Macaca mulatta: one gene and its partner. The protein of the gene in region 2 purifies or fractionates together with the protein of the main gene of each other region. This does not show direct contact. Links are inferred from orthologs where the notes say so. Each region holds a gene or a part of one and is shown on either strand. Other genes may lie near its edges. The genes, in order: LYAR and PHF6.

Region 1 (4,374 bases), on a different chromosome or scaffold from region 2:
CCCAGTCCCAGTGCAGCCAGAGAGATTCTACATGCTTTCCTTCTGGCCATATGGGCATGTTAAAAGAGAAAGGCAAGCAGAAGGCAGTGTTCTTGGACTGGTTGAGAGCATACTTCCGTTCTTGCCCAGTCACTTTAACTCAATTCGGCAGACATTTCCTGAACGCTGACGCCATACTATCCACCCAGATACACCTGGGCCCTCACGCACGTCCTCTGCGTGTGCTTCTGGCTGCGTCTTCGTCTGTCTGTATGGTCAGTCTACTGAGCTCTCATCACATGCCATACACATGAAAAAGACGATGGGGTCTGCACCATAGAACACATGATCCTTAGCTCTCTACGAAGCCGTGTCCCATTTATGAACACGACTGCACCCAACACAACTAAGACTGCTTTGATCATACTACCTCCATCTGGAGAGAAAACCCAAGGCTCAGGAGGGTAAGTGAACTGCCCGAAGTCACAGTAAGTGGCAGAGGTAGCCTCAAAGACCAGGCAACAAGTCGAGGCTCCCACCCTGCCTCCATCTTGACCTGCCATGTCCTAGCCATTTGCTTGGTGGTTACTCAGTACCTAGGACGTTGAGGTCCTCATCCAAAGAGGAAAAAAAATTAAAGTCTCTACGAGATGGCTTTCCATGTAAAAATATTAGAACCCTAAGTCTTAATTATAAAGCCTGTGTGCAGTGGGCAAGGAGACCACCCATGTCACAGGAGAGGCTGTCAGGTGCTGGACAGCTAAGCTAGTTGACTGGCAGCAGCCAGTGGTCAGTAAGGGGCTGGGAACTTGTTAGTCGTCTCTTAACAAGATGGTTGCCAGGTTTTGTTGGACAGAGCCCTGGCTCAGGGGTAGAGGATCTGAGCTGGAGCCTACATCTGCTAATGCCAAAAAAGTCATTAAAAACTAAATGACTTCAAGGTTCCTTAACTTCCCAGAATCTGTTTATCTGTAAAATGGATCTAATACCTAACTCAAAGCGTTGGGTGGAAAGTTAAATAAGACATCAGATATGAAAGCTTCATCCCTGCCTAACTGTAGAAAGGTTTTTCTGTGACCTACTAATTTGCACATCAATGCTATTACACCCAGCCCCCTCCTAAACCCATGCTCCTTTAAATATGACCATCAACCCACCCATTTATCTTCATAAATTCACTCTAACCTTCTCTGGCTCCTCACCCCATGGGTGCCTACTCTACCAAGTTCCCTGAAAACATGCCCTTAGGTTTGGTTCTGAGATTGGAATGATTTTTTTTAACCTTCCTCCCTCTATATTTTTTTGTTACTTGTTATTTTTTTTTCTTTTTTTCTTTTTTTTGAGATGGAGTCTCGCTCTGTTGCCCAGGCTGGAGTACAGTGGCGCCATCTTGGCTCACTGCAAGCTCTGCCTCCCAGGTTCAAGCAATTCTCCGGCCTCAGCCTCCCCAGTAGCTGGGATTACAGGCACGTGCCACCACGCCCGGCTAATTTTTGTATTTTTAGTAGAGATGGGGTTTCACCATGTTGACCAGGCTGGTCGTGAACTCCTGACCTCAGGTGATCCACCCTCCTCGGCCTCCCAAAGTGCTGGGATTACAGGCATGGGCCACCGCGCTTGGCCCTGACTATTCTTAAAATATTCTTGCATGCACATACAGACACTGACCTACACATTATTACCACCACTACCACTGAAACAGCCCACCTGAGGGGCCTGGCTGGCAACCCCAGGACATCCCTCACTGAACACTGTGACCCTGAGCATGCCACTGCCTCTTTAAACTTCAGGTTCTCTCGTCTGTGAAACAAGAAGTCAGGCCAACTTGACAAGACTCAAGCCCCTTCCACAGGTAGCATTCTGAGCAACCATGGATGTGGTGCAAGAGAAGGACAGACAAACATACTCTGTCCACCATCCTGCCTGTACCTTTGTGTGTGGGGCTGATAAGGGTTACAATGGGTAACATTCACAAGGAGAGAATCTCTCCCTTGTTCCTTGCAAAAGCCCTGGGAAGTAGGTGCACCTATCTCCACTAAACAGATGAGCAAACTGAGGCACAGAGGCCATGTCTCTCCACCTCCCACCCCACACACTACATCACCAGCACTGTTTCAAACACCATCCCTTCACTCGGGAAACTGCCATGTGTCAGGCACTATGCTAGGCCCTGGGAGCCTGGGGCACAGTGTGAAGAAGTCCCAAGTGGCCCTCCTCTGCTAGAAATCAGGGTTGCAAATACACACCCCACCTCATTCCCACCCCCCTCTCCTCAGAGGCAGGTGCTGCAGAGAATCCTAACATTTATGGAGCACCCAAGCCCTCTCATAGGAGGTCAACGCATTTCTACGCATGCAATCCTCATCACAGTCCTCCGAGTTAGGTTCTATATGTTATGACAGATGAGGAAACTGAGGCGCAAAGAGGTTAAAAAACTTACACCAGGTAGTGGCAACCCAGATTCACACGCAGTAGTTATTCTGGTCCTAAGTACGTGCTCTGGACCGCTACATCCTAAGACCTCCTCCTCAGGGAGTGGATGCGGCCAAAGCTAGAGAAGAGCCCTGTCCCCAACATGCAGCAAGCCTGAAGCCCAGTCGGGCGGTGACCAACCGTCCTGGTTTGGCCAGGCCTGAGGGGGTTCCCAGGACGCGGGACTTTAAGTTTTAAAACTAAAACGAGTTGGTCACCCTAAGTCCAGGACTCCTGCCACTTCCCCAGAGCAGGAGTGAGATCTGAATGGAAATCCTTCCTCCATGCGTAACCCAGAGGGGCTGACGGTGTCCCTCCCCTACTCACTCTCTGAGCCCCAGCCTTCTAGGTCGGACCTCTGGGCCACCGCCCCTCACCTCTCAGTCAGCGCCCGCCAACGGTTTCAACCGGCCGCGGGGAGCACGTGGACTCGCCGCCGCCGGCCCAGCGCCGCAGCTACCTGCCTCTTTGGATTCGCGGTGCAGAATTCACTGCTGAGCCACCCAGCGCGCCTGCGCACCGCGGCCACACAACTCCCCCCCCCAGCGGAAGTGACGCCATCGGAAGCAGGAGGGCGGTTCTGGCAAGCCAAGGGGGCGTTGTCGGGATGGTTCCGCGGCCGGCGGGTCCCTGCGAGCGCCTCTGAAGGCAGCTGCTGCAGGTGAAGAGTAGGCGGCGGGGCAGAGAGCGGCCTCCGAGGGTAAGGTGGCCAGCCTTGCGAAGGCATGCAGGGCTGGCGCTGGTGGGAATGGCCCGGAAGGAAAGCGAGGCCGCGCGGCCTGAGGTGGCCCAGAAGGGCATGGACCCGCTGTTCCTTCCGCATCTCAGGGGCACTCGAGGATACCCGGGGAGTTGGCGGCTCCTGCGAGAGTCAGCGAGCTTCTGCTCTGTACCCGGCATCACAGGGGACGCGAACTGAGACCCAGAAGGCCAGGTTCCGGGCCTGGGAGCCGGGCCTTCTCCCTGGTGCAGCTCCCTCGGCCTGGAAACCCCACCCGCGTCCTCTCATCTCCAGGCTTTGCCCGCTGGAAGCCAGCCCGGCCCGCCACCGCTCCGCGCTGCCCATCTGTCGGCTCCTGTTTCCTTCCGTCCACGCTGTAGTTGAGAGTAGCGCTTAAGACGGCAGAGCCCAGAGCCTAGCTCAGTCTGATTACGGTGTGGCCTCTCTGTGCCTCAGCCCCGCATCTGTAAAGCGGGTATCATAGCGGCACCTGCGTCGCTGGAACCTTGTCATATTTCATGAGTTGGTGGTGCATGTAAATCGCTTAGACTAGTGGCTACCACTTAGTAAGTGCTCAATAAACGTTAACTATTGCTCCGCCCTTAAAACAGGGTCTGGCATACCGTGGTGGTCACTAGGTGTTTGTTGCTTAAATGAATGAATGAAAGTTGAATGGAGGATCCACAGAGTATTGTGAGAAACCTTCACTCCCAAGGTGTGTGTATGTGGGTGATGAGGAAGGTTTCACTCTGAAAGTGAGCAGTGTTGGGCCTGGAATAGAAGGTGTATTCGTTTGCTAGGACTGCAAACAAAATACTGGGTGACTTAAACACAGGAATTTATTATTTTCTCACAGTTCTGGAGGTTAGAAATCCAAGATCAAGGTGTCCTCAGGTTTGGTTTCTTCTGAGACATTTCTCCTTGGCTTGCACGTGGCTACTTTTGCCGTGTCCTCATATGGTCTTTCCTCTGTGTTTTCAAATTTCGTCTTTTTATAAGAACATCAGTCAGGTTGTATTAGGGCCCACCTTAATGGCCTCATTTTAATTTTATTACCTTCTTACAAGCCTGATCTCCAAATACAATCACATTCTGGGGTGCTGGGGGAAGCAGTTTACCCATAACAAAAGGAATTCATGAGAATGGACAAGGAGGGAAATATTTTCCAACAGAAGTGACAGAATAGCCAAGAGTGCTCAAGA
Region 2 (4,435 bases):
AGAAAACATGTCTTCTCATCCATTTATGTCTAGAATTTTCTTTTAAACACAACTTCAAAGGCCCTGACAGTCTCTGCTTTGATAGGTTTAACAAACTCTTAATGCTATCTATAATTTTAAATATCTCAGTCTTCCAAATGGCAACGGAAACTTTACCATAGTACTGTATTCATAGCACTGGCTATAAACCGTGAAACTGATTGAAAACAGGCAGCAAATACTTTTAGGATTAAAGAAAAAAAAAAAGGACATAACAGAGAAACAAAAGAAACAAAAGGGAAGTGTGTTTGCATTTGCTCAGGCAAGTATGTGTTCGGTTGCTTTATCAAGAATATAGCTGCCCAAATTTTTAGAATCAACTATGCAAAACACCAAAATCCATAAACAGCATCAGAATTTGCTATTATATTTGAGTTCTAAATTAGTTTCTTTACTACTGTGCAATGAATAGTAGGCACTCTGAAATCACCATAATAATGTATTCAGCATTACTCCCGGTCATCCTGGCCAGCTGAAAGGATGGCACAGTATAAATCAAATCCCGTACAGACATCTTTAATGTGTAATTTCCAAACAATCCTAGCACTGGCTATAAAACTGGCTTAGGATAAAGAAAATTTCTAGAATGGAAAAAATCACTTCGTATTCTTAAAATTAATTCCGAAATGGCATCCCCAAAATTCTATCTATATTGAATTCTGCCTCTTCCAATTTATAAACAGGCTAATTTCTCATTCTAATTTTGAGAACCTGCTTTTCTAGATATCAAAGACCCCAAAATCTAAAAGAGAAAAAAGGTACACTTTATTTTGCATTCAAAAATATTCTAGTGTATTTTTTTCTGTAATCAGTTTAAATTTAATTTGTAAAGTAACAAGAGCCACAAAAAAAGTGCACCAAACCAATTAAAAACTTTCCCCAATGTGCAATTACTAAATGGATTTTTCCACTAAAATTCAAATAATACATCTGTGCATATCTTGGTAATTTTTTTAGTCTCCTTGTAAAACATGAAGTGGAGAACATCATGGAAACAATGACTCCTAGCAAAAAATGTCTTTATCATAAAAGTACAGATTTTTATCTAATGTTGTCACATTTGTGGTCTCTACTTAAGTAGAATAAGGGCATTCCAAGGACCAATACTAAGGGGTTCATAATGATCCACAGCTATATGGCATTTTAATTTTAGTCTAAAAGGTTTTTCAGGCCATGCAGAGATCAAAGTTTGATGCTTTCACGCAACAATGAAGCCTTTTCTTTAAAAGAAACATCGCATTATGGAAAACACTACAAAGCAGAAATAGAGAGGCAACAATAACAGCGTGTAATACATAATTTAAATGCCTGGAAAAAAAATAAAAGCTAGATTAGTTAAGCTTAAGCAATCAATGCATTTCTGATTTTCCAAGATGCTGTGAAGCACCAAGGTAGAAACAACCTGAAACATCAGAGAGAGCATTCAAGAACCAACTCCAGAGCTCGTTCAATGCCTGGTATCTGAAAAAGCATTTTCACAGAAAAACAAACAAAACAACAAAAACTGCAGTTCCGGAAGATTAAAACATTCCACGCGACAGCAAGTTGAAATATACAAATCAAAATAGATAACAAACGTGATTCCCCAAAGAAGCAGTATTTCTAACAGGAAAGTTACAGTGGACAGAAATAAACGAATAAGATATACCGGAAGGGCACCTGAATTTGGTTGCACGATATTATTACATGCTTCGCACTGCTTTTTGCGGTTATTCAAAAGGAAACTAAAGGAATTTTCCAGTTGTTTCAAACCCAAGGGTAGAGAAATAATTTGAACAGTATAAATAAGACCTGACATTACGTAGTAAGGCGATGAAAATAAAAGGTTTTCTAAAAACAAAAGATTTTCCAACTTCCACGCAGAATATCAAAACGAACAGAAATTGGAAAAGAATATCGTGGTGTTCATCCATATAATGAAAGACAGTACACATAAAGTACCGGATCCTCTCCGTTATTTATTCCCCCAATACACACTAGACTCCAAGATCTCCCTCTAATCAAGCGCTAAAGTCACAAAACTATCTTCCTCTAAAACACTTCAGCAGGTTCCTTTCCGTCGTAAAGTCAGGGTCCCCTAAACGTCCTTTTCCAATCCTCCCGAATCCAGGAAAATATCATCCTACCACTTTCTTTATGCCCCCTCCCCCAAGAGTTAGCCCTCTCACAGTCTTCGTTGTAAGCTTCCCCTTATACCCCAGTTTCACCCCTAATTCCCCCCACCCTGGAGTTTTTCCTCATTCCGTAAGGCTAGCTCTTTTGCCATCCTAACAATCTTCCTCTTACTCTTCCCAAACTGGGAGTCTCCCTCCTTCCCAAATATGTTCTAAGCAACGGCAAAAACTAAAAATTCCCAGTTTTTTCCCTCCTCAAATGTTGCGCCCCCTCCCCCGAAGTCTAGGCGTAAGCCTAACCTCTCCTTCTGTACCTCCAAGGCACTTTCTCAGCAGCCTCTCCGCCAAGCGTCTACAATGAGCGGCGCTTCTGGGGTCCCTGACAATAAAGCGAGACCACCAAGAGTCCCCTTTAACAACGGGCAGGGGCGGCGGCCTGGCCACCGCCATCCTCCTTGTCTTCTCCCGCCGGGCAGAGAATGGGGGGCCCCAGGGTTCCGTGGGGACTCACCGGCAGGGCCCAGAGGCGGACGGCAGGAGAGAAGCGCCAATGAGGGTAAAGAGAAAGAAGTCGGTCTCGGTTCTCCGGCAGTGCCTGAGAGCGGGGCTCTGTCGCCGGAGGTTGTTTCCTTTCATTCGAGGAGAGACGGGCTCGCGGAGCGCCCTTACGTCGCCCCCCTCGCACGCACACGACCCACAGAGCGTTGATACGTCCCGAGCGCGCCGCGGGCCCTGATTGGCCGCAGAGAGGGGGCCGCTGAAGCCGCAGAGACACAGCGCATGTGCAGAAACCACCCCCTGTACGGCTCGAGGCGGCAGGCCCCGCCTCCTGTTCGCGCGCGGACCTTCTATTCTCCGCTCCGCTGCTCCGCCAAGTGTTTGGGGGCAGGATCCGAGGAGATAAAGAGATTCAAAGATATCGCTGTGGGTTGGGCGGAGAAGGGGCAGGGTTGGGACTGGAAACCGTTGGACAGGGGCCCTGGGTAACCAGTTCACAACAGTGATTCACGTAGACAGGCCTTATCCCTTGCACTTGTTCACCGAGGCCTTTTCACATCCATTATTTCATTGTACTCTCGTGGCATCTCTTTCAGGTCCTCCGTTCATTTTATTGCCAGGAAAGACTGAGAAGCTCGTAGTCGAGTCAGCCTGCCTGCATTTCAATCCTTGGGCGAATCGTTTTAACCTTTATACCTTTTTTTTTTTTTTTTGGTCTTTAAAATGGGGATAAAAATAGTGCCTCACGGGTTTGTGGTAAGGAAGAAATGAAATAATGCAACTAAAGCGTGTTATTAGCATCCCTGGCATATAATAGACTCTCCATAAATGCTGGGATTATCATAATCAGAAATGGTAAGGTGATTTTCTTTATAATCTACACATGTAAACCAGACACCTAGACGAGTGCTTTCCTCTTTGGTGTATTGGAGCCATGCTTGGGTTTGAACTCCAGCTCCGCCACTTCTAGCTGTATGACCTTGATTGCTTTGTATTACCTCTCAGTCCCTCAGTTTCATCCTGTCCAAAATGGAGATCATAATGGTATTTGTCTCAAAAGGTAGTTGTGAGAAATGAGATAATACATGTAAATCACACAGAATAATGCCTAGGCATATAGTATGCCCTATGTAAGTGTTAGCTTTTGTTATTTGCTATGGGCTTCACAGACTTTAACAACAACAACAACAAAAGCCTTAACAAACTAGTGAAATTTTAAAGATGCTCTTCAAGAGCCATTTTTCCTGTAGTGGGGGTGGATTTCCACTGTTTTGATCCAGTGCTGTTTCTATACTGTTTCGTCAATCTTTTTACTTTTCTCTGCAATGTCAACTTTAAAGTGTAATTTCCCAAGCAAACAGTGACCATGGTGGTGTGACGTTGAACTCTTCAAATAGGTACCTAATAAGGGTGGACAAATCAGCCATTTAGCTGCAAGGAACCCTTAGCCCTTTTACCCAAGGCCCTATGCTGTGAAAGGGAGTGGCTAAAGATTTACATAAGAAGATCCAGAATGTGTATTCCAAACATTTATGGTGTACAAGAAGACAGGTTTCCCAGCATCATTTTCTACCAGCTTTACACACTTACTGATGCCAGGATGAGACTGACAAAATACAATGCCTAGGCAGTATGCCATCTTTTTAAGTCCCCGCCCCAAATCCCCACATTTTGCTATCTTTTATTCCTTATTCATTATTTCATCCATGCATTCATTTCAACAAACTTTGATTCAATAAACACTTGCAAAACTACTAAGTTCCAAACACAATGGAGACCTAGAT

The links.
Region 1: the proteins of PHF6 (region 2) and LYAR purify together in Homo sapiens (affinity purification with mass spectrometry; 3 studies listed by BioGRID and IntAct, with this or other methods). This does not show direct contact. The link is inferred for Macaca mulatta from reciprocal best matches to the Homo sapiens genes PHF6 and LYAR.

What each region holds. Positions count from the first base shown.
Region 1 is NC_133410.1:8,717,702-8,722,075, reverse strand, and holds the start of LYAR (cell growth-regulating nucleolar protein), read right to left. Parts: upstream 2,931-4,374; 5' UTR 2,829-2,930; intron 1-2,828. UniProt on the Homo sapiens protein: Plays a role in the maintenance of the appropriate processing of 47S/45S pre-rRNA to 32S/30S pre-rRNAs and their subsequent processing to produce 18S and 28S rRNAs. Also acts at the level of transcription regulation.
Region 2 is NC_133426.1:140,852,737-140,857,171, reverse strand, and holds the start of PHF6 (PHD finger protein 6), read right to left. Parts: upstream 2,815-4,435; 5' UTR 2,665-2,814; intron 1-2,664.